Linked DNA regions of Drosophila melanogaster. The protein of the gene in region 2 interacts with the protein of the main gene of each other region in a biochemical or structural test. Each region holds a gene or a part of one and is shown on either strand. Other genes may lie near its edges.

What was found. Proteins that work in one complex are often made in the same cells at the same time.
Region 1: of the proteins of bsk (region 2) and Jra, one has a biochemical effect on the other in vitro, tested with the Drosophila melanogaster proteins (2 studies listed by BioGRID).
Region 3: the proteins of bsk (region 2) and Aplip1 form a complex in vitro, tested with the Drosophila melanogaster proteins (one study listed by BioGRID).

Annotation. Positions count from the first base shown.
Region 1 is NT_033778.4:10,094,003-10,099,319, forward strand, and holds Jra (Jun-related antigen), read left to right. Parts: upstream 1-2,477; 5' UTR 2,478-2,594; intron 2,595-2,925; exon of another isoform or gene 2,926-3,002; 5' UTR 3,003-3,136; intron 3,137-3,240; 5' UTR 3,241-3,264; coding exon 3,265-4,134; coding exon of another isoform or gene 4,135-4,383; 3' UTR 4,384-4,554; downstream 4,555-5,317. Other genes in the region: CG2269 (uncharacterized protein), read left to right, coding at 1-141, 201-632, 694-976, 1,047-1,241; RpLP0-like (ribosomal protein LP0-like), read right to left, coding at 4,589-5,083, 5,144-5,317.
Region 2 is NT_033779.5:10,246,658-10,253,145, forward strand, and holds bsk (basket), read right to left. Parts: upstream 3,845-6,488; 5' UTR 3,624-3,844; intron 3,086-3,623; exon of another isoform or gene 2,603-3,085; 5' UTR 2,554-2,602; coding exon 2,438-2,553; intron 2,258-2,437; coding exon 2,128-2,257; intron 2,066-2,127; coding exon 1,868-2,065; intron 1,805-1,867; coding exon 1,540-1,804; intron 1,479-1,539; coding exon 1,195-1,478; intron 1,117-1,194; coding exon 991-1,116; 3' UTR 845-990; downstream 1-844. Other genes in the region: CG31717 (uncharacterized protein), read left to right, coding at 4,162-4,170, 4,239-4,844; Ror, read left to right, coding at 5,310-5,407, 5,618-5,770, 5,827-6,417, 6,482-6,488. UniProt on the Drosophila melanogaster protein: Mitogen-activated protein kinase and key component of the c-Jun N-terminal kinase (JNK) pathway which phosphorylate and activate transcription factors involved in a wide range of biological processes including response to various stresses, cellular proliferation, differentiation and migration, and regulation of cell shape.
Region 3 is NT_037436.4:1,193,610-1,200,102, forward strand, and holds Aplip1 (APPL-interacting protein 1), read left to right. Parts: upstream 1-2,707; 5' UTR 2,708-2,933; coding exon 2,934-3,046; intron 3,047-3,327; coding exon 3,328-3,704; intron 3,705-3,899; coding exon 3,900-4,621; intron 4,622-4,689; coding exon 4,690-4,877; intron 4,878-4,945; coding exon 4,946-5,018; 3' UTR 5,019-5,730; downstream 5,731-6,493. Other genes in the region: LysX (lysozyme X), read right to left, coding at 1,258-1,686. UniProt on the Drosophila melanogaster protein: The JNK-interacting protein (JIP) group of scaffold proteins selectively mediates JNK signaling by aggregating specific components of the MAPK cascade to form a functional JNK signaling module.

The sequences.
Region 1 (5,317 bases), on a different chromosome or scaffold from region 2:
CAGTCTATCTGGAAATGGTGGAGGCAATAAGCACATTCATGCACCCACTGTGGGTCACCTGATGCTCCGTGCCAAGAAGTCCATAGATTGGTCACAATACTTCGGTCTGGATCGCAAAAAGAAGTCCTTGCAGAAGAAAGAGTGAGTTTTAATGGGACTTAAACATTTCTTATACACTTAATAAATGTAATTCCTAACAGAAACCTAAAGAAACGCAGCGACACGGATAGTAGCACCAATAATGATGAGGAAGATGACGAAGATGACAGCTCCGAGGCGGAGAAAAAGAAGCGTGACTTCGATGCCGAAAAGCTGGACAGCATGGACAAGAAGCTGCAGTCCATCGAGGACTTCATCATCGACGAGACCATCAAGTATACGGGTGCACACGAGGGACTCAACAGCAAGGACGACATCCGCAGAATCAAGGACCATGTCCTCTCGCGCTTGGCAACCGCTTACAGTCTGGAGAAAATGCGCAGGGCTCTGGATAAGTTAAGGAGATCAGTGGACAACGAGAGTCACCTGATGCGCAATACCATCGAACCGGAATCCGAGGAGAACGCGTTGGACTCCAATTACTGGTTGAACAAAAAGTCGGTGAAGAAGGAGCAGGCAGATCAACTGGCAGAGTAAATGAAAATGCCCTTAAATTTACATTATTTCGATGTGTTTATTTCTCAAATCCTCCAGAGACTCGAGACCACCCAAGGACATGGAAAAGAGGAAGCGCAGTGGTTACTTGCGCTATCCGGAGCAGCCAAATACCATGGAGGAGGCACTCAGCCTGGGCAGCGCTCCCTACGAGACCCTAAACGACGCCTATCTGGGCAACAAGAACTACATTGTGGGCTCCAACCAGTGCCCCATTATCGAGTCCATGGCGGAGCGCTGTCGGGGCGTCGATCTCATCTCCGGAGACATTAACCAGGAGCTCCTGCCCCTCTGCGGTGTTCACCAGATATGCTATCTATGTGTAAGTGAAAACAGGATGCCTGAGTCGAGTATGGTTAACTATAGTTTACCCATTGCATTTCCGTTTCCAGGGTGCCTCACAGGTAGCCTGCGACTATCAGTACTTGGCGGAGGCGGATAGCGTTTGCGGCGACAGCAACGACTGCCAGTCGGCGGCCCGTTCCATCCTGATGATCCTGCGGGGATCACACGGCCGGCAGCTGGGTCCTAGGGAGTGCTTGAAGAATCCCTGCTTGTACAGGGCCATGCGGGAGATTGGGCTTTAAGCGAACTGCTCCGAATTGCCGCCCAGTGTTTTCCTAACGTCTCTTTTGTGTGCGTTTAAAAAGAAAATCATAAATCGAAAATGAAAATGACAACCCCGCAATGCAAAGCAGAGAGAGAGAGAGAGAGAAGATAACAATATGAGCCCAAAAAACCAATATAAAAACCTTGCTGAACTGGCAAAAATCAAACAAACGATTGATTCAAAACCAAATAGTCGTCGCATACAATGACATAATATTTTGATGGATTTTCCTGACCGCCTCGCGAGGCGGCAGCAGCCAACTAGAGTTTACCAGATACCTAAAGAGATGCATATAGATATACATACAATTTGGATTCAGTTAATCGCAGTAGACGCCCGATGCGGCCCGATTTATTTGGTTTAAGTGTTCAGCGTAAAATGGAATTTTTCGAAACATATTTGCACGTTTTATGGGTGTTTAAGTGTACAAACGTGATCATAGACGAAACATAACACACATACATATGCTTAACCAAGACATACAAGTATTTAATCCACAGCCAGCTTTTTAAGTAACTCAACTCGCTTGACATTCTAAGCAAAATGAAAGGCAGAGCTCACATTGGCAGCTAGTCCTCCAAAGTCACCGTCAGAATTCTTCTATTCGGTTTGACTTGGATGTGTGCACATACATACGTGCGTGTGCCATACCATAATACACTATACACATTATACATATATAACGATTTTAGCCTACACCGGGAAAAAAACTATGTATCTTTGCGAACGCCAAATGCAGAGCAACTAACTATAGTATCTGAGACTTCTCTCTCCGCATTACTTGTCTACAGATGAACATATACATTAATGTGTTTCAACGTGCTTACAATAAATGGACATAACTAAGACAAATATTTGAAGCTCTAACAAATCTATAGATGTGATTATTAATATATACAAGGAGTTTAATAAATGTGTAAATCTTTTAGGGCCAGCATATATACCAATCTGAACAACAGCAAGACGTTTGGTTGCGAAATCAAAATATTATTAATGTATTTACATAAACGAACAAATATATATATTTAAACTTGATGTATATGCTACAGTTTGAAAAACAAAACAAAACAGAACAAAAACCCATATTTGAAAATATTTATTGCTATACAGTTATCATAAATGTCGAATATAAATATATCGGGAATATCCCAAAAACGTATGGCCTTTTTTCTCGGATGTTTTCAAATTATTTGCGAATGTTCCGAGTTAAGTGTCATATTTTGTTTCCCCTTTTCAATTGTAACTCGCAAAATCACAAAATCATGAGCATCAGTGTTTTCCTGGAGTTCCTGACATAATGGATCCGTCTGGACAGTTTGTGGTTCCCCAAGTGCGAAAACAATATCTTAACCAGACCGAAAAATATATTTCCTTTCCTATTTACCGACGCCCAGGAGTGATAAAGAGATCTATTGCATCTTCTTTTACTGCCAAACATCAAGAAAATTTCAAGAAAAACATGAAAGACTAGCGACGGCCTTGTTTCCATTCACCTTTCATAATGATTTAGTAAATGTTAAAAAAAACCTATATTGTATTTTATTAACTTAGCTACCGGTAATGGTTTGTGTCACTGCTAAGCTTCTTGCTTGAGTCAATGCTGCCCATTGTTTAAACATCGCATTTAAAGACCAGTATCGATAGCAATATCGAATAAATAATCGACACTTGTACCACCGCTAGCACTCATTCTGAAAACAACCTTGCGCGTAATAAATATTTTCGTAAAATTATTTAGCGAAACCAAAATAAAAATCAAACGATTCGTTGGCCGATAAAACCGGTGATTAAGCAGTGGCAGTGCAGAAAGCAGAAAACACAAAAGTACAGATTGTGCTAATCAAATTTTGCAAGCAAAGTTCCCACCCACTGGTGAGTAAGAAGAAGAGCGAGTTATTCGCATGACTCATCGCGAAACGAGTTTTTATCAGATTGTTTTCATTCCGTTTTCGTCTCTTTCACTTCATCCGAATCAGATTGACGTCATTGCTTGAGCAAACATGAAAACCCCCGTTTCCGCTGCTGCGAACTTAAGTATTCAGAATGCTGGCAGTTCCGGAGCAACTGCCATTCAGATCATACCTAAAACCGAGCCCGTTGGAGAAGAAGGCCCCATGTCACTGGACTTTCAGTCGCCGAACCTGAACACATCCACCCCGAATCCTAACAAGCGTCCCGGCTCGCTGGATCTGAACAGCAAGAGTGCCAAGAACAAGCGCATCTTCGCACCACTGGTCATCAACTCACCGGATCTGTCATCCAAGACGGTAAACACACCCGATTTGGAGAAGATCCTGCTATCCAACAATCTGATGCAAACACCGCAGCCGGGAAAGGTGTTCCCCACCAAGGCGGGGCCCGTCACCGTGGAGCAGTTGGACTTCGGCAGGGGATTCGAGGAGGCCTTACACAATCTTCACACTAACTCCCAGGCATTTCCGTCCGCCAATTCCGCCGCTAATTCCGCCGCCAATAACACAACTGCGGCAGCCATGACAGCGGTGAACAATGGCATCAGCGGAGGCACCTTCACCTACACCAACATGACCGAGGGCTTCTCGGTGATTAAGGACGAGCCCGTCAATCAAGCCAGCTCGCCCACCGTTAATCCCATTGACATGGAAGCGCAGGAGAAGATCAAGCTGGAGCGCAAGAGGCAGCGTAACCGTGTGGCTGCATCCAAGTGCCGCAAGCGCAAGTTGGAGCGCATCTCAAAGCTGGAGGATCGCGTGAAGGTACTTAAGGGCGAGAACGTCGACCTGGCTAGCATCGTGAAGAACCTCAAGGACCATGTGGCGCAGCTGAAGCAGCAGGTGATGGAGCACATTGCCGCGGGCTGCACGGTGCCGCCGAACTCGACAGACCAATAACATTTGGAGTTGTCAGCCGGGGAGAATGATGAGGAGGACGTGGCACTGGAGACTGAAACCCCCTCGAATCCTGAAGATCCCGAGCAACCCATGCCTCTGGAATTCTTTTCAAGTGCTAGCACCGGTGCCTTGGAGCTGGAGGGCTCGGCCTCTCAGGATATTTCCCTAACTAACAGCGAACTCCTGGAGGAGGAGAGCGATAACGAACAGCCTCTGGTGCTCTACATCCTCGCGGACGACGCAACCTGAGGCTTTGTGCCTTTCTTTGGTTTTAGCTGCAATATCTGAAATGCTTCTTAAGTGTTTTGTTTACTTAGTTATTAGTATAAGCTAGTGTTAATCAAGTATTATCTGTGTTGAACGTAAGATAATATGTAATGTACTTTTAAAATATACGTATATTTTCTGCACTTGATATATACATAAAAAAATTATTTCTACGCCTTAAACTTATTTATTCATCATCCTCCTCTTCGTCATCATCGTCGTCGTTGTCATCCATGGCCTCGGCCTCGGCCTCCTCTTCCATTGCGCTATCAGCCTGTTCCTCGTCGTTCACATCATCCTCGACATGCAGCTGGAAGCCTTCGCTTTTTGTCCACGAGCACTTCATGGTCAGCCGAAATTTGGCCATGGGCTTGCCCACCAGCTTGAGGATTCTCGCCTGTTCGGGTGTTAGAACTTTGCCCTCCTCACAAACCGTGTAGTCACTGTACAGCGTAACGATTCCCTTCTCCAATTTGGTGGGCAGGCCCAGGGAACGCAGATGCGGTTCCATAGAGTGGGCGAAGTCCTCTAGGGGACCTGCTGGCAGGGTAACCGTTTCCGTGGCCACAAAGCCACTGCGTGCGTATTCCACGGCCCAGTAGTTTTCTGCCCACTCCAGGACTTCCTCCTTGGATTTGTCCGTGAAAAGCAGTCCCACCTGGCCAGTTAATCGCTTGGATAGCTAATAGACATAGCCTGTGATTAGTGTCTGATATATGTTAATCCACTTAAACTTAATTACCTTGTGCAATTCCGGCTCCACTTCCTCGCTCTTCGTGCGACCCAAGCCAATCTGCATAACACGATTCTTGCCAAAGATAAAACGAGAATTCTTTTTCAACTCCTGTCGCAGATCCTTCAGCAAGCTATTCCTCATGTTCTGAACTTGGAAAACGAATATATTTGGGTATTTGCC
Region 2 (6,488 bases):
TATGTTTGTACATATTTTGTTTTATAGATGAGCATCATAAATATATATATATATTTATATGTACATATATCTGTGGAATTCTAATACATCTTACATACATATGTATCTGCGAGTTATTTTTCCCCGTAGGCATGTATGTACAAACAACGATACATATGGCACACTCTGGTGGTATCATTTACAAACGCACATGGATATGGGAAATAATACCTCAACGCCAATGTGGCTGGGAAATGTGTTACCTAAGACGTCTAGCTGCCCGTATGCCCGATATGCGCGAAATCAGTGTTTACTAGTTATCCGCGCGATACATTTAGCATTTGTATTATTATTGTTCACCAACGCAATTCTTTATTATCAAACCCACATTTATTCGCGATGACACTTTGCTGTTATCGTTATCGCAGCATAGGAATAACAGTACGAAGTTGCCATCCCGATCTCTACACCGGTGAGAGTTGCCAGCCCGATTTACACGCCGGCTTATTCGATACTAATTGAGTTATCGAATGACCGTTTGTTTCGTTTAAATTTAGTATAACAGTTTTTTATTTAATCATCATTTTAAATTTTTTGTATTTTAGAAATGTTTTTATCGGTAACTAAATTATCTACTTTCCATATTCTTGTATGAAACAAAATTTTAAAAGTATGTATCGACTTTATATACCGAAATAATTTATATGGTTAAACTTTTCCATTTAAATTTTATGAATTTATACAAAGATTAAAATGTAATTAGCTCCTGAAATCAGGACAATGAAATGATTAAACTGGTATTTTAACGATTTAACTTAAGAAAGCGGGCTCAAAAAACAAGGATGAGTAAGAAATTACAAAGTTTCGCATATTGATTTTATTTTTTAATGGTTACTATATTTTTAAATACAATTTGAATATTTTATTTGTTGTAATAATTTAACAATACACGCCGTATTGTTGGTAAGCTTTAGTTTTCTTGTGACTGACTAAGGAGGAAAAAGTCGTTCTCTACCGCGTTCTATTATTTGTATTGTGTGCTTCGTAGTCCATGACTTCCTCATAGATTAGCTCCTTCCACTGCTCCACAGTGTGTTCCCTTTCGTCCACGCTGTGATCATATGGCTCCGGAGCGGGCTGCAAGAGATGCATGCAATTAAGCGATTAAAAACATTCAACATTCCTAGAAATCCAGTTTATGCCAGAATCACTTACAGCATCCACTTCCTCAGCATCATACCACACGTTGATATATTCATGCTTCAAAGCCTCGTCCACAGATATCCGCTGCTCTGGATCAATGACTAGCATTTTACTAAGAAGATTTCTAGCGTCAGAAGCCTTCCGGCGGCTATTCTGATTATTATCATTTGGAAACAAGCCATCGGGGAAAAGTCTATCAAATGAGTATCCAGTGTATCTAGGACGATTTTCCACATAGTTTCGGACGGTTGGCTGTAACCGTTGCATAAACGAGGGTGATGGTGTACCTAATTGCTCTGAAAAAACGTAAAAGTTGACAATCATAACGAGAATCAAGTTATTTAAGCAGCAACATACCAATAATTTTATTCCACTGATCTATATGATCCGTTCCAGGAAACAGCACACCGCCCCGTATCATTTCGCCCATAATGCAACCGACGGACCATATGTCCACGTTCTCTGTGTATCCCATGCCCAAAATGACCTCTGGAGCCCTGTAATATCGGGTGACCACATAGGGAGTCATCATAAAGGTAGTTCCTGCAGTACGTGCCAGACCGAAATCCAAAATTTTTAGAGTGCAGTCGGCCTTTACAACTATATTGGATGGCTTTAAGTCCTGCAAATGAAGTATTTCATATATTTCATACTCATTTTAAAGATGTATTCATACTGTACGTACTCTGTGAATAATTCCTGCTGAGTGTAAATGTTTTATTCCGCACAACATTTGATAAAGCAAATAGGACATTCTGTCGTGATCCAAGTCCATTTGGATGACCTGGCAGAGATTAGCGTCCATCAGCTCCATGACCAGGTAGACATCCTGAAACTCTTCCAAGTTCCTTTGCGGCGTAAAAGCATTAAGTAAGCCAATTATCTACGGATTAAATACCTATGTTTAGTAGAAATTTGTTAAAGTTAAAGGTGCAAGTTTCATACGTTTTTATGGTTAACAAGCTTCATTAGCTTGAATTCCCTATATGCTCGCTTGGCATGGGTTACATTTTGGAATGGTCGAGATAGTTTCTTAATCGCCACATTTTGCTGGGTGATAGTATCGTAAGCGGCGCTGAAATGCATTAAATTTGTTATTTTTTTTTTTCATATTCCAGCTAATCCCATCTAATCTAATCTAATATACAATGGAGCGTTACAAATATGACTTCATACTCATGCGAAATATCTTAATTGTTTAAGCCAAAAAATTGTTAAATGTATTATATGTAATAACATATTGATAACCACTTACCATACTATTCCTTGGGCACCTGATCCTATGGGCCGTAGATTAATGTACCGACTGTGGATGGTGAAGTTGGTGTCCCCCACCTCGACGGTGTAGTGTTGGTGCTGAGCTGTCGTCATTGTTCACTGATTTTATTTATTACTAGTTGAGAGCAAGGAGCATATCGGCCTTTTCAAGAGGGTAAATAAGATAAATCAATACGGTTTTACAGTGTGATTCTGTTTTATATAAGGAGCAAAGACGTCCGTATGTATGGCTCCATTCTGAATGGGTGGAGGCAGTTTTCAGACAACTTCGTCTGGAATTAGGGGGTAGGAAAACATTAACTTTGCCTGGCCTTATTTCGGCAGAATGTTATGGCCATTAAGTGGGTCTCTGTTGTCGCGAGGGGTGAAATTTACTGGCTAGTGTGTGGCGAGTTTGTTGCCAAACCACGAGCAAAAAATATCGAGTTCCTTCAAAAAGATACAATTGCATAACGCAGTCACTTATTTGAGCCGACTTCGAATGCCGAACCCCCTTTTCTATTGATAAGCATTTAAATGTTTGCCGAACACATGTCGAATATGGTTGGAAAAACACCCAACAGAAATAACCGAGCGTTTCGTTCTTTGAGCAAAGTGTTTAGCGGCACGCACAGGAAAAAAAACCGATTTAAAATCGATATGTCCGGCTTAAACATAAAAGTACGGAATGTTGGACCACAGCGATGTACATAGCGTTCATGTGTATGCATGCCGTTGCCTGTGTAAATATGTACATACACACGATTTGTATGCGGATGAAAACTGTAAACTTCTACTGGTATACATATGTGTAAGATGTAAGCCACATACATACATATGCACATACAGCCACACAAATGTGGGTCGATAATTTAGTAACTTTTCAAACTATCTCTCAGATAAAAGATATTCCCCGTATTCGTACATCGAAAAAGCGCTCGTTTGCGCTGCAGATAATAAAGCGGTCTACGCTTCGGGTAGTGTCGATATGTAAACGTTAGACATTTGCGCATACATAGGTACATACACTCTTTGGGCAGTTGACATTTTATGTTAAATATCAATAATTTTTTTCATAACCGGCACAACTATAATTGCTTTCAATCGATTATGGCACGTTTTGCAGGAGTGTTTCGGTGATTCGATATTTGATGTGAATGGAACGTAATAGAATATTTATTTACCATTTAACGAAGAAGTACAGAATTTCTTGTGAAAATATAAAATCGATTTTTTTTCTATTTTATTCTACACACTGGGCACTCAAAGTGGCGAGCATTTTAAACTATGTTAATGTTATTGAAATTTAAGAATCAACTATCTGCGGCACTTTCGCATGAGAATAATTGTACATGGATACAATACAATATACGAAAATCTATTGGAATATTCGATCACAACAAAGTTACTTAAATCGATGTGACCAGATTGCAGTAGGACCAAAACCAGAAACGGCTAAAGTCAGCCAATCGACTTTTGATTAAAATTAGGTTTAATTAGGGGTTTAAAACCTAATAAGTGTTAATAACTTACAAATAAACATATACAAATGCAATTTATTTAATAAAGACCAAAAACTAAGTTGGCGCAGTGTTTCATTTCACCGTTCCGGTCATTAGATATTCCTTTGCTCGACTTATCGAGTATACATCGAATGACGAATGAGAAATACTGTCATCACTAACAATAAATAAAAACAAAAGAGTTGAAATACACAGCGATATGAGGACGGTTGGTTTTTGGCCACTGATGAATCACATAAGCTGATAAGTGCTAATTTTAAAATCTTGTCCTTGCAGTCATCACCAGCACTTAAATACCTATTGGAGAAGGATGTTCAGGTGTCGAAGCATTTTGTAGTAGCCGTCTCCAATCTGTCGTTCTTCAAATCCCTGCGGATCCACAGCAGATTTCTGGAGATATCATGCGATGGAATCGCCTGGTTTGTCTCATGGATCGCCTTCATCTGGTTGCTCAGCTCGAAGAGCTTGTATCAAATGCAAGTCAATATGCTCTTCGGCCTGATACTCGACGTAGTGATCGTGGCCGTGCTGAAGGCGCTTGTTCGTCGCAGGCGACCGGTGGCCAGCAAGGATATGCTGACCATTGGACCCGATAAGTTCAGCTTTCCCTCAGGTCATGCCTCCCGGGCGTTCTTTGTGCTGCTGTTCTTCGCCAAGCTGTATCCGCTTCACATCATATTCCTAATGCCGGTCACAGCTTGGGCTGTAAGCGTGGCCATCTCACGGCTCATCCTCCAGCGTCATTATATTTTGGATATCTGCGCCGGTGCTGCCATCGGAGTGTTGGAGGCACTAATCGTGGGACTTCTGTGGATCAGCGAGGAAACTGCATTTAGCATTGTGGGCTTTGTTACCGAGGAAACTGTCGACAGCATGGAGTAACGATAAGTTACGATTGGAACACCGAAAGCAATAGATAATCTCTAGATCATTATGATAAATGCTTTAACCAAATACATTGTTAATGTTAAATTCATATTATTGTGTATTTCGCATAATTTTTCTACCCTTATTTCACTGTGAAAAGGGAAAGTGTACTTTAAATGAGACTAAAGTCGTTATACAACCATCTTTAATAAAATAAATAAAGCTTTTGAAGATATTTGGATTATTAATTATAAGAAATTATAGTGTAATTCCTTTGTTCCGAGTCATAGCACTCCTAAATATATCGATTCATCGATAAGGAGTCAACAACCCCAACGACTTCGTCGGGGGATGAAATGTTGTATGCCACATAAAGTTTTCGCGAAAGGATAAATACAAAAATATTTTCGGAATCGTTGGCATGTCAATTGGACTATTGAAATAACAAAAGGCTTCATATTGTTAGCTAGATTAAGCAATATGAACAAATACTCGGCATTTATAGTCTGCATTTCGCTCGTGCTTTTATTTACAAAAAAGGATGTGGGGAGCCATAATGTGGACTCAAGAATATATGGGTAGGTATTTTCACTGAAAGTTTTCCCAAGTTTCCGCAACAATAATTAGCGAAATACTTTTGTGTGGAATTAATAATTAATGAAATCATGAGCTTAACATGTTTTATATATTTTTAAATTACTAAACATAGTGTATACTCGAATGCAGAAATCTTTAGACGCCCTTATCCTTTTAATCCTTAAAAATGCAATATATTATTTGCCCTGCAGTTTCCAGCAATCATCAGGTATTTGCCATATTTACAATGGCACCATTTGTCGCGATGTCTTGAGCAATGCCCATGTTTTCGTATCCCCCAATCTCACCATGAACGATTTGGAGGAGCGATTAAAGGCAGCTTATGGAGTAATCAAGGAATCCAAGTGAGTATGATAACTATTTCAACATTCCGTTGCTAATGCCAAGTGCATATTTTCAGGGATATGAACGCAAATTGCCGCATGTACGCTTTGCCCAGCTTGTGTTTCAGTTCAATGCCAATTTGCCGGACTCCAGAGCGCACGAATCTCTTGTACTTCGCCAACGTGGCCACAAATGCCAAGCAACTGAAGAACGTCAGCATTCGACGGAAGAGAACCAAGTCCAAGGACATTAAGAACATAAGCATATTCAAGAAGAAGTCCACCATCTACGAGGATGTGTTCAGCACAGACATATCGAGTAAATACCCACCAACCAGAGAGTCTGAGAACCTAAAACGCATTTGCCGCGAAGAGTGCGAACTTCTGGAGAACGAGCTGTGCCAGAAGGAATATGCCATTGCCAAGCGACATCCCGTCATCGGGATGGTGGGTGTGGAGGATTGCCAAAAGTTGCCGCAGCACAAGGACTGCCTATCCTTGGGCATCACCATCGAGGTGGATAAGACGGAGAATTGTTACTGGGAGGATGGATCGACATATAGAGGAGTGGCCAACGTCTCCGCATCCGGAAAGCCATGTTTGCGATGGTCATGGCTGATGAAGGAAATCTCCGATTTCCCTGAACTCATCGGTCAGAATTATTGCAGGTAATTTTATTTAATTTATTTCGAAAGGAAATCGAAATAATAATTTATATTTAAATCTCGTTAGAAATCCT
Region 3 (6,493 bases), on a different chromosome or scaffold from region 2:
ATAATCGTAATTTCACTTTCTAATCAGCAGCAACAGCTTCCAACCGAATGAGGAAAAGTCACGGGACTAGGGTTGGTGGACAGACAGCCAGACATTGCGCTTGACTTTCAAATTCAGGCGTTTAATTTATGCTGGTACAGCAGTAACTAGTGTACCGTAAGGAAAACCTAGTGAAACCCTTGTTGGAATCGGGAAACTCCCGTTGGATAAAATCAATATGAAGTTAAAAGAAGTGCAGAGCGTGCGACATTGAGAGTGGTCAAATAAATGAGTTCCTAGGTAGTTGGCCAAGTCAAGTCGAGCTATAAAGGAAAAGCGCTTTCCAGCCAACCACTTGATGCTTCCACAGAGTCAATAGTAGATAAATGGCAATTTCTTTCCGCCCGCTTCTTTGGGCCTTTGTTTGAGCTTCGAGAAAAGCAAATAGCGCCAGGGGAGACGGAAAAGATGGGAAAAGCGTTGGGTGGGCCGGGTGGTCAGGCTGGGAGCCAGAGTCACTGCCACTTGACTATTAAAATATGCGAAAGGCCCACTAAACACATGCGTGGGCAGCGCTTCACCCCAACTCATCAGCTGAGGCGATTAACTTAATGGTGCTGGCTAACTGATTGACCGACAAACGACTGGCTCCCAGGAGCCATCCACTTTCTATTTGCCCACGAGCTAAAGGATTTATGGTTGCCCCAAGGGATGCAGGATGTCCCCCACTCCGCCGATGTGAAGGCAGCCAGACGGAGATGAAGCCCGGAACGGAGTCGAGGTCACGATGAATGGCAGCTCTTGATTTCGGAATAATTAACTTAGACATCTAATTTGAATGGGGGTCTAAACTGTGACTCGGTTTTAATTCGGGAATTGGAAAGGGTAATTTGATCAACACTTAAGAAACAACATTTACATGTGTCTGCTTTAAGAACGTACTTTTTAAGATTTTAGAGTGTTTCTGAACTATTTGTTTTTTTTTATATATTTATAGTATATAGTATAGTATATATAGTATACAGTACATAGTAATTACCTTTCTATATATTATGAATTCGTTGAAAAATTGCAATGACTAATTTTGTTCGCTGTCGCTTATCTTTGATTTATTTGTCCGCACATTTCTTTGTTTAATTACAAATGTCGTACCAGATATTTACTTTTATTTATGTATATATCGTGAATCAACGTATCAAAAAGTATAAACGTATAAAAAGTGTTTATTAGATTGCAAAACAATTACATTTTGAAATGTCCATGGTTAAGAGACTTGAATTAAACAAAGCAATCATCGATCGGGGGCAGGTATCCACTGCAGTAGTGCCAGGTGGACCAGGCTGACCAGCCCTGTTGACCCAGGACCTTTAGGGCACATCTTACGGAACTTTTGATGTCATCGGTCAAGAGAGCGTTGCAACTCACATCGCAGCCATTGTGGGAGAACTTTCCACTGGACGGCTGGCACCAGTACATGTCGTTGATCTGGAAAATGCCATAGTCGTTGGATCCATCGGTGTTGGGAGGCCCCACCACTCCGGTGCGGTAGGAGCTCTCGTGCTCTGCAATGCACGCCCACTTGGACAACTGGTCACGAGAAACACCCATATTGGCCATCTCGCGCGCCAGTGAGCAGCGATCCATGGTGCGACCCAGGACAGCTGGAGTGACTAGTGCCAGGACACAGATTCCTAGGAGGGCTCTCATGGCGAATTGGTTGGATGTCGATGAAGTACTGCGTGGCTAAAGACTGTTCATTCTTTTATACCCGGGGAAATAAAAAAAATCTGATTAAAGATAAGAACTATATTCTATACAAAGAAGAAACCAGCGGTTCTTATTATTGAGGGTATTCAACTAAATCTGGGCTTTCTGGGCACACCTCACAGACTGGATGATGTCGTCTTTGAGCATGTCGTTGCAGCTCGTGTGGCAACCGTTGTGTGAGAACTTTGAACATTGGACCGGATCACCTGAGTTAGTGGTAAGAAAATTTCTTAGGAAAATTATAGGTACCTTTAGATTGTCTGATTTGACTAGGCAACAGAAAAATGCATATCTTGTAGGTAAGTTATGGCAGACTGACGATTTCCATTTCCCCATTTACATTTATCAGTTGGGGTGGCGATTACATCTCCTATCGTATCTTATAATATAAAATAATATAATATAATATAATATATTATAATATAATATATTATAATATAATATATTATAATATAATATAATATAATTGCTGTTTTAGATAGATAATGACCAACCTTATTCATAATTTTATAATTTTCTAAATTAATTGATAGATAGTTTTTGTACTTTTAAAATTAATTAAATAATTTTCGAAATTGCATTTTGTGAAATGAAGACTGATTCGTTCGTACACATTTACTATAAAAATATATGCCCGATAAGAAATCCCCAGCCGGGGGAAATCCCCATTTTCTAGATCCGCCCCTGGCTGTTCGTGCCAAAGCGCAACAGCATTGCAATTCGCAAGTCACCACCATTGGAAACGGGGAGCGGAAGTGACTCACTGCGCAGGCGCGCTTCCTGTCAACCCCCAGGACAGAGTGAATGCCGCTGACCCCCCAACCTTTGCCCTGCCAGCGGTAAACAAAAACAAGTTTGGCTTACCAGCGAGAGAGAGAGAGAGAAATAAAGAGAGAGCTTGCGGATGACAGCTGAAAGTCCCGAATTTCCCTGGCTTGGGCCTCCACTATTTCTGATTTGGCACCACTCACATCTGGAATTCAGACGGGGGCACGCCAGCAACGTCAAGGAAATTATCGATTTTCGCATGTGAAGTGAAAAAAGTGACTCCGTTGGCAAAAAACTGTAGCGCGAGCAGGACTCCAGTGAAAATCTAACCAAAAGCAGTTCACACGGACTAACTAAAAGCCCCAGCTAGCCTGTAGTGGAGGGCGTGGCAGCTGGTCGGACCCTGGTCCCCAAACGACATGGCCGACAGCGAATTCGAGGAGTTCCACAGGCCCATATTTGAGCCACATACGATTGCTGGATTCGGATCAGGAGCAGGCAGCAAGAAGAATAATCCACATGCATTTTACTCGTAAGTTGAAAGGTGAAAGGCTGTGGTAAGAAGCAATCTGGCGAAGCTTGCTGTAGCCAAGACGTGTGCACGTGTCCTGAAGAGCACCCCTTGAAACTGGTTGGGTATCCTTGAAGGGAACTGTTCGCAACAGAAATCACAAAAGTCACTGATGGAACTGTTTAAAAGTATGCAACGAATTGTGTGCATGCCTTTGGACATTCTTATGAATTATTCCAAACTCGCTGTGATTTCTGTGCGATGGCATGAGTTCAGTTTCATCAGTAAAGCCCTTTTCACAGCTTAATTCCCAACGATGACCTGGAGGACTCGCACTCCTCGAAGAGCGATGGCGACGGTTCGGATCAGGAGGATGGCATTGGTCTTGTGGATCACGAGCCCAAGATGCGTCAAGTGGAGGACGATGAGCTGGGCGACGGGCTGAAAGTCACTCTGTCCTCGGACGGCTCGCTGGACACCAACGACTCGTTTAATTCGCACCGACATCATCCGTTGAACCACCAGGATGCGATTGGTGGCTTCCTGGGCATGGACACCAGTGGATTGGGTGGCAATAGTGCACCTGTGACCATTGGAGCCAGCACAGATCTGCTGGCACCCAATACAGCTGCCACGCGACGTCGTCGCAAGTTGCCGGAAATACCGAAAAACAAGAAATGTAAGTTTATTGAAAACTTAGTTCCTGGCTAGAGTATCCTGCATGCAAGTAGTTTCAGGGGCTATGCCGGTTTTCAAAACTAGTATTTGGTTTTCCACAACACATCTATTCGTCATATCCTATTTTGGGAGCCGGATAGTCCTTCTTAACATCCCTTCGTAGTTTCGGGCTAACCCACTCATGGCCTCGTTGCAGCTTCCATTCTGCATCTTCTAGGTGGCTCCAACTTTGGCTCCCTGGCGGATGAGTTCCGCAACGGTGGTGGTGGAGGAATCCCTCCAGCAGTTCGCAGTGGACAACAGCGCTCATTTCTGTCCCTCAAATGCGGCTACTTGATGGACGAGGACTCCAGTCCGGATTCGGAAAGGATGCAGAGTCTGGGCGACGTGGACAGTGGTCACAGCACGGCGCATTCGCCCAACGACTTTAAGAGCATGTCGCCGCAGATCACGTCTCCCGTTTCGCAGTCCCCCTTTCCGCCTCCCTTTGGGGGCGTGCCCTTTGGCCAGCTGGAGATGCTGGAGGCCACTCACCGTGGTCTGCACAAGTTTGTGCCGCGGCACCACGACGAGATCGAGCTGGAGATCGGCGACGCCATCTACGTGCAAAAGGAGGCCGAGGACCTGTGGTGCGAGGGTGTGAATCTCCGCACCGGAAGGCAGGGCATCTTCCCCTCGGCCTACGCCGTGGACCTGGACTACAACGAGTTCGATCCCACAGTGCAGCTGGTGAAGAAGGAGCGCTATCTGCTGGGCTACCTCGGATCCGTGGAGACGCTGGCGCACAAGGGCACCGGAGTCGTTTGCCAGGCGGTGCGCAAGATTGTCGGGGAGTACGGCAACTCACCGACCGGACAGACGTGCATCCTGGAGGTTTCCGACCAGGGACTTCGCATGGTGGATCGATCGGGCCCGAATGTGAGTAGGATACATACATATATACATCTTCATTAATAACCGATATAAAAACCGATTTCGTGAAACAGCAAAACAAAAAGGACAAGAAACCTTGCATCGACTACTTCTACTCCCTGAAGAACGTCTCCTTCTGCGCATTTCACCCTCGCGATCACCGCTTCATTGGCTTCATCACCAAACATCCCACGGTTCAGCGGTTCGCCTGCCACGTCTTCAAGGGCTCGGAGTCGACCAGACCGGTGGCCGAGGCAGTGGGGTGAGTCCTCAAGCAGTCATCCCCCCAAAACAAACGCTCGAATAACATGTTAACACTCCTTCTTTCAGCCGTGCTTTCCAGCGATTCTATCAGAAATTCATTGAAACCGCTTATCCCATCGAGGACATCTACATTGAGTAGGCTTGCAAGGCGGTTTGTGCATTAATCAATACGATATATTTTTTGTGCGGTTATTACGAATAAAAGCAAAGATAAGTCTCAAGAATATTTGCTCTTCTTCAAAGAGAATCTCAAAGCAAAATCAATAAGCTCGCAATAGAAACCCTAGCTATAGATTATTATCATTTATCCGTTTTGAACAAATGTGCAAGATCTTAGACATGTAAATAGTTAGTTAACTTTCGTTCAAAATCCCCACTTCACACTCACACTCACACTGAGCTTCAAGCAATCAGCAATAGTTGCCCCCTCTATAGGAACCGCCTTTAAACTCGAGTTCACTGGATATATGGACAGAAGCAAAAGAACACCTTGAACACCTTGAATTTTGTATCGGGAGTCAGTTGGGTCAGTTGGGTCTATTGTAAATCGGAGATAAGCAATTTGGATTGGTTATAGATATCCAGACCCTCCTGTAACCACATCCTTAACCTGGCAATGCACAAAATAGAGTGAGGCCAAAGTAATTTAGCGATCTTCGTGTAACCTTAGTTTAGTTATGCCAATCTTTCAGTTACCAGAGACTCAACAATATCGAACACCAGCTGCTACGTTTTGAAGTATTCTCAATTAAAGCCCAGTATAAGATGTGTAAACCTTTAAAGTTGTGTACACGCAGGCGAATATATACTGTATATGTATACAAAAGAAATATATAAAGAACCTATAAATCAAACTATATTGGATTATTGGGTGCTCAAGGAAGAAAGGTGAGTTTTATTAGTAAGAGAATGTAAGCCCTTTCATCTTATATTGTAGAACTTACCCAAAAGTATGCACTTAAGCTCAATTTATAGCAAGTTGATAGAATCCCGAAATGATGGTAGATAATATTTAGCAGCCTAAAAGATAACTTATAATTTGTAAAGTAAATTATTTTACACATAAAACATGTGAGTTTATCTCTCGCGGGAAATGAATTGGTGATTTGCATAAAATTACACGACAAGACAAGATAATACTAATCGGCTATATGAAGGCAATGGCCAATTGCAGTTTAGTTTTAAGATTAACTTGTGATGACTTGTTTTGAGCGGGCCATGGAATGGAATGATGGCCCAGAAGTTCCCATTCGGATTCCACATTAGTTTTATTTCACCGCACATTTACCAATGCGGATCTACGCCGGAAAAAGAAACAATCGCACATTAATGAAAACGCCCAGGGAGTGGAGAATAAATGGCCGAGCCATTAAAATGGCGATACATCAGTTAGCCTGGGGGCATCAATCATTATGCAATTTTCGCGAAGCCGGCCAGCAGCTTTGGGCCACTTTCTTCGGAGGTGGTTCAGTGAACGGGTTGTGGCGGTGGGCCTGGTCGGATCTGCCTTTGGGCAAAGTGCTCTAACAGGAGCAGCGACTAAGACTAACTAGTTCGTGTCGCTTTTAATGGAAATGGATACCCGAAGTAGCCTTGGCAGCGACTTTGGCTGGG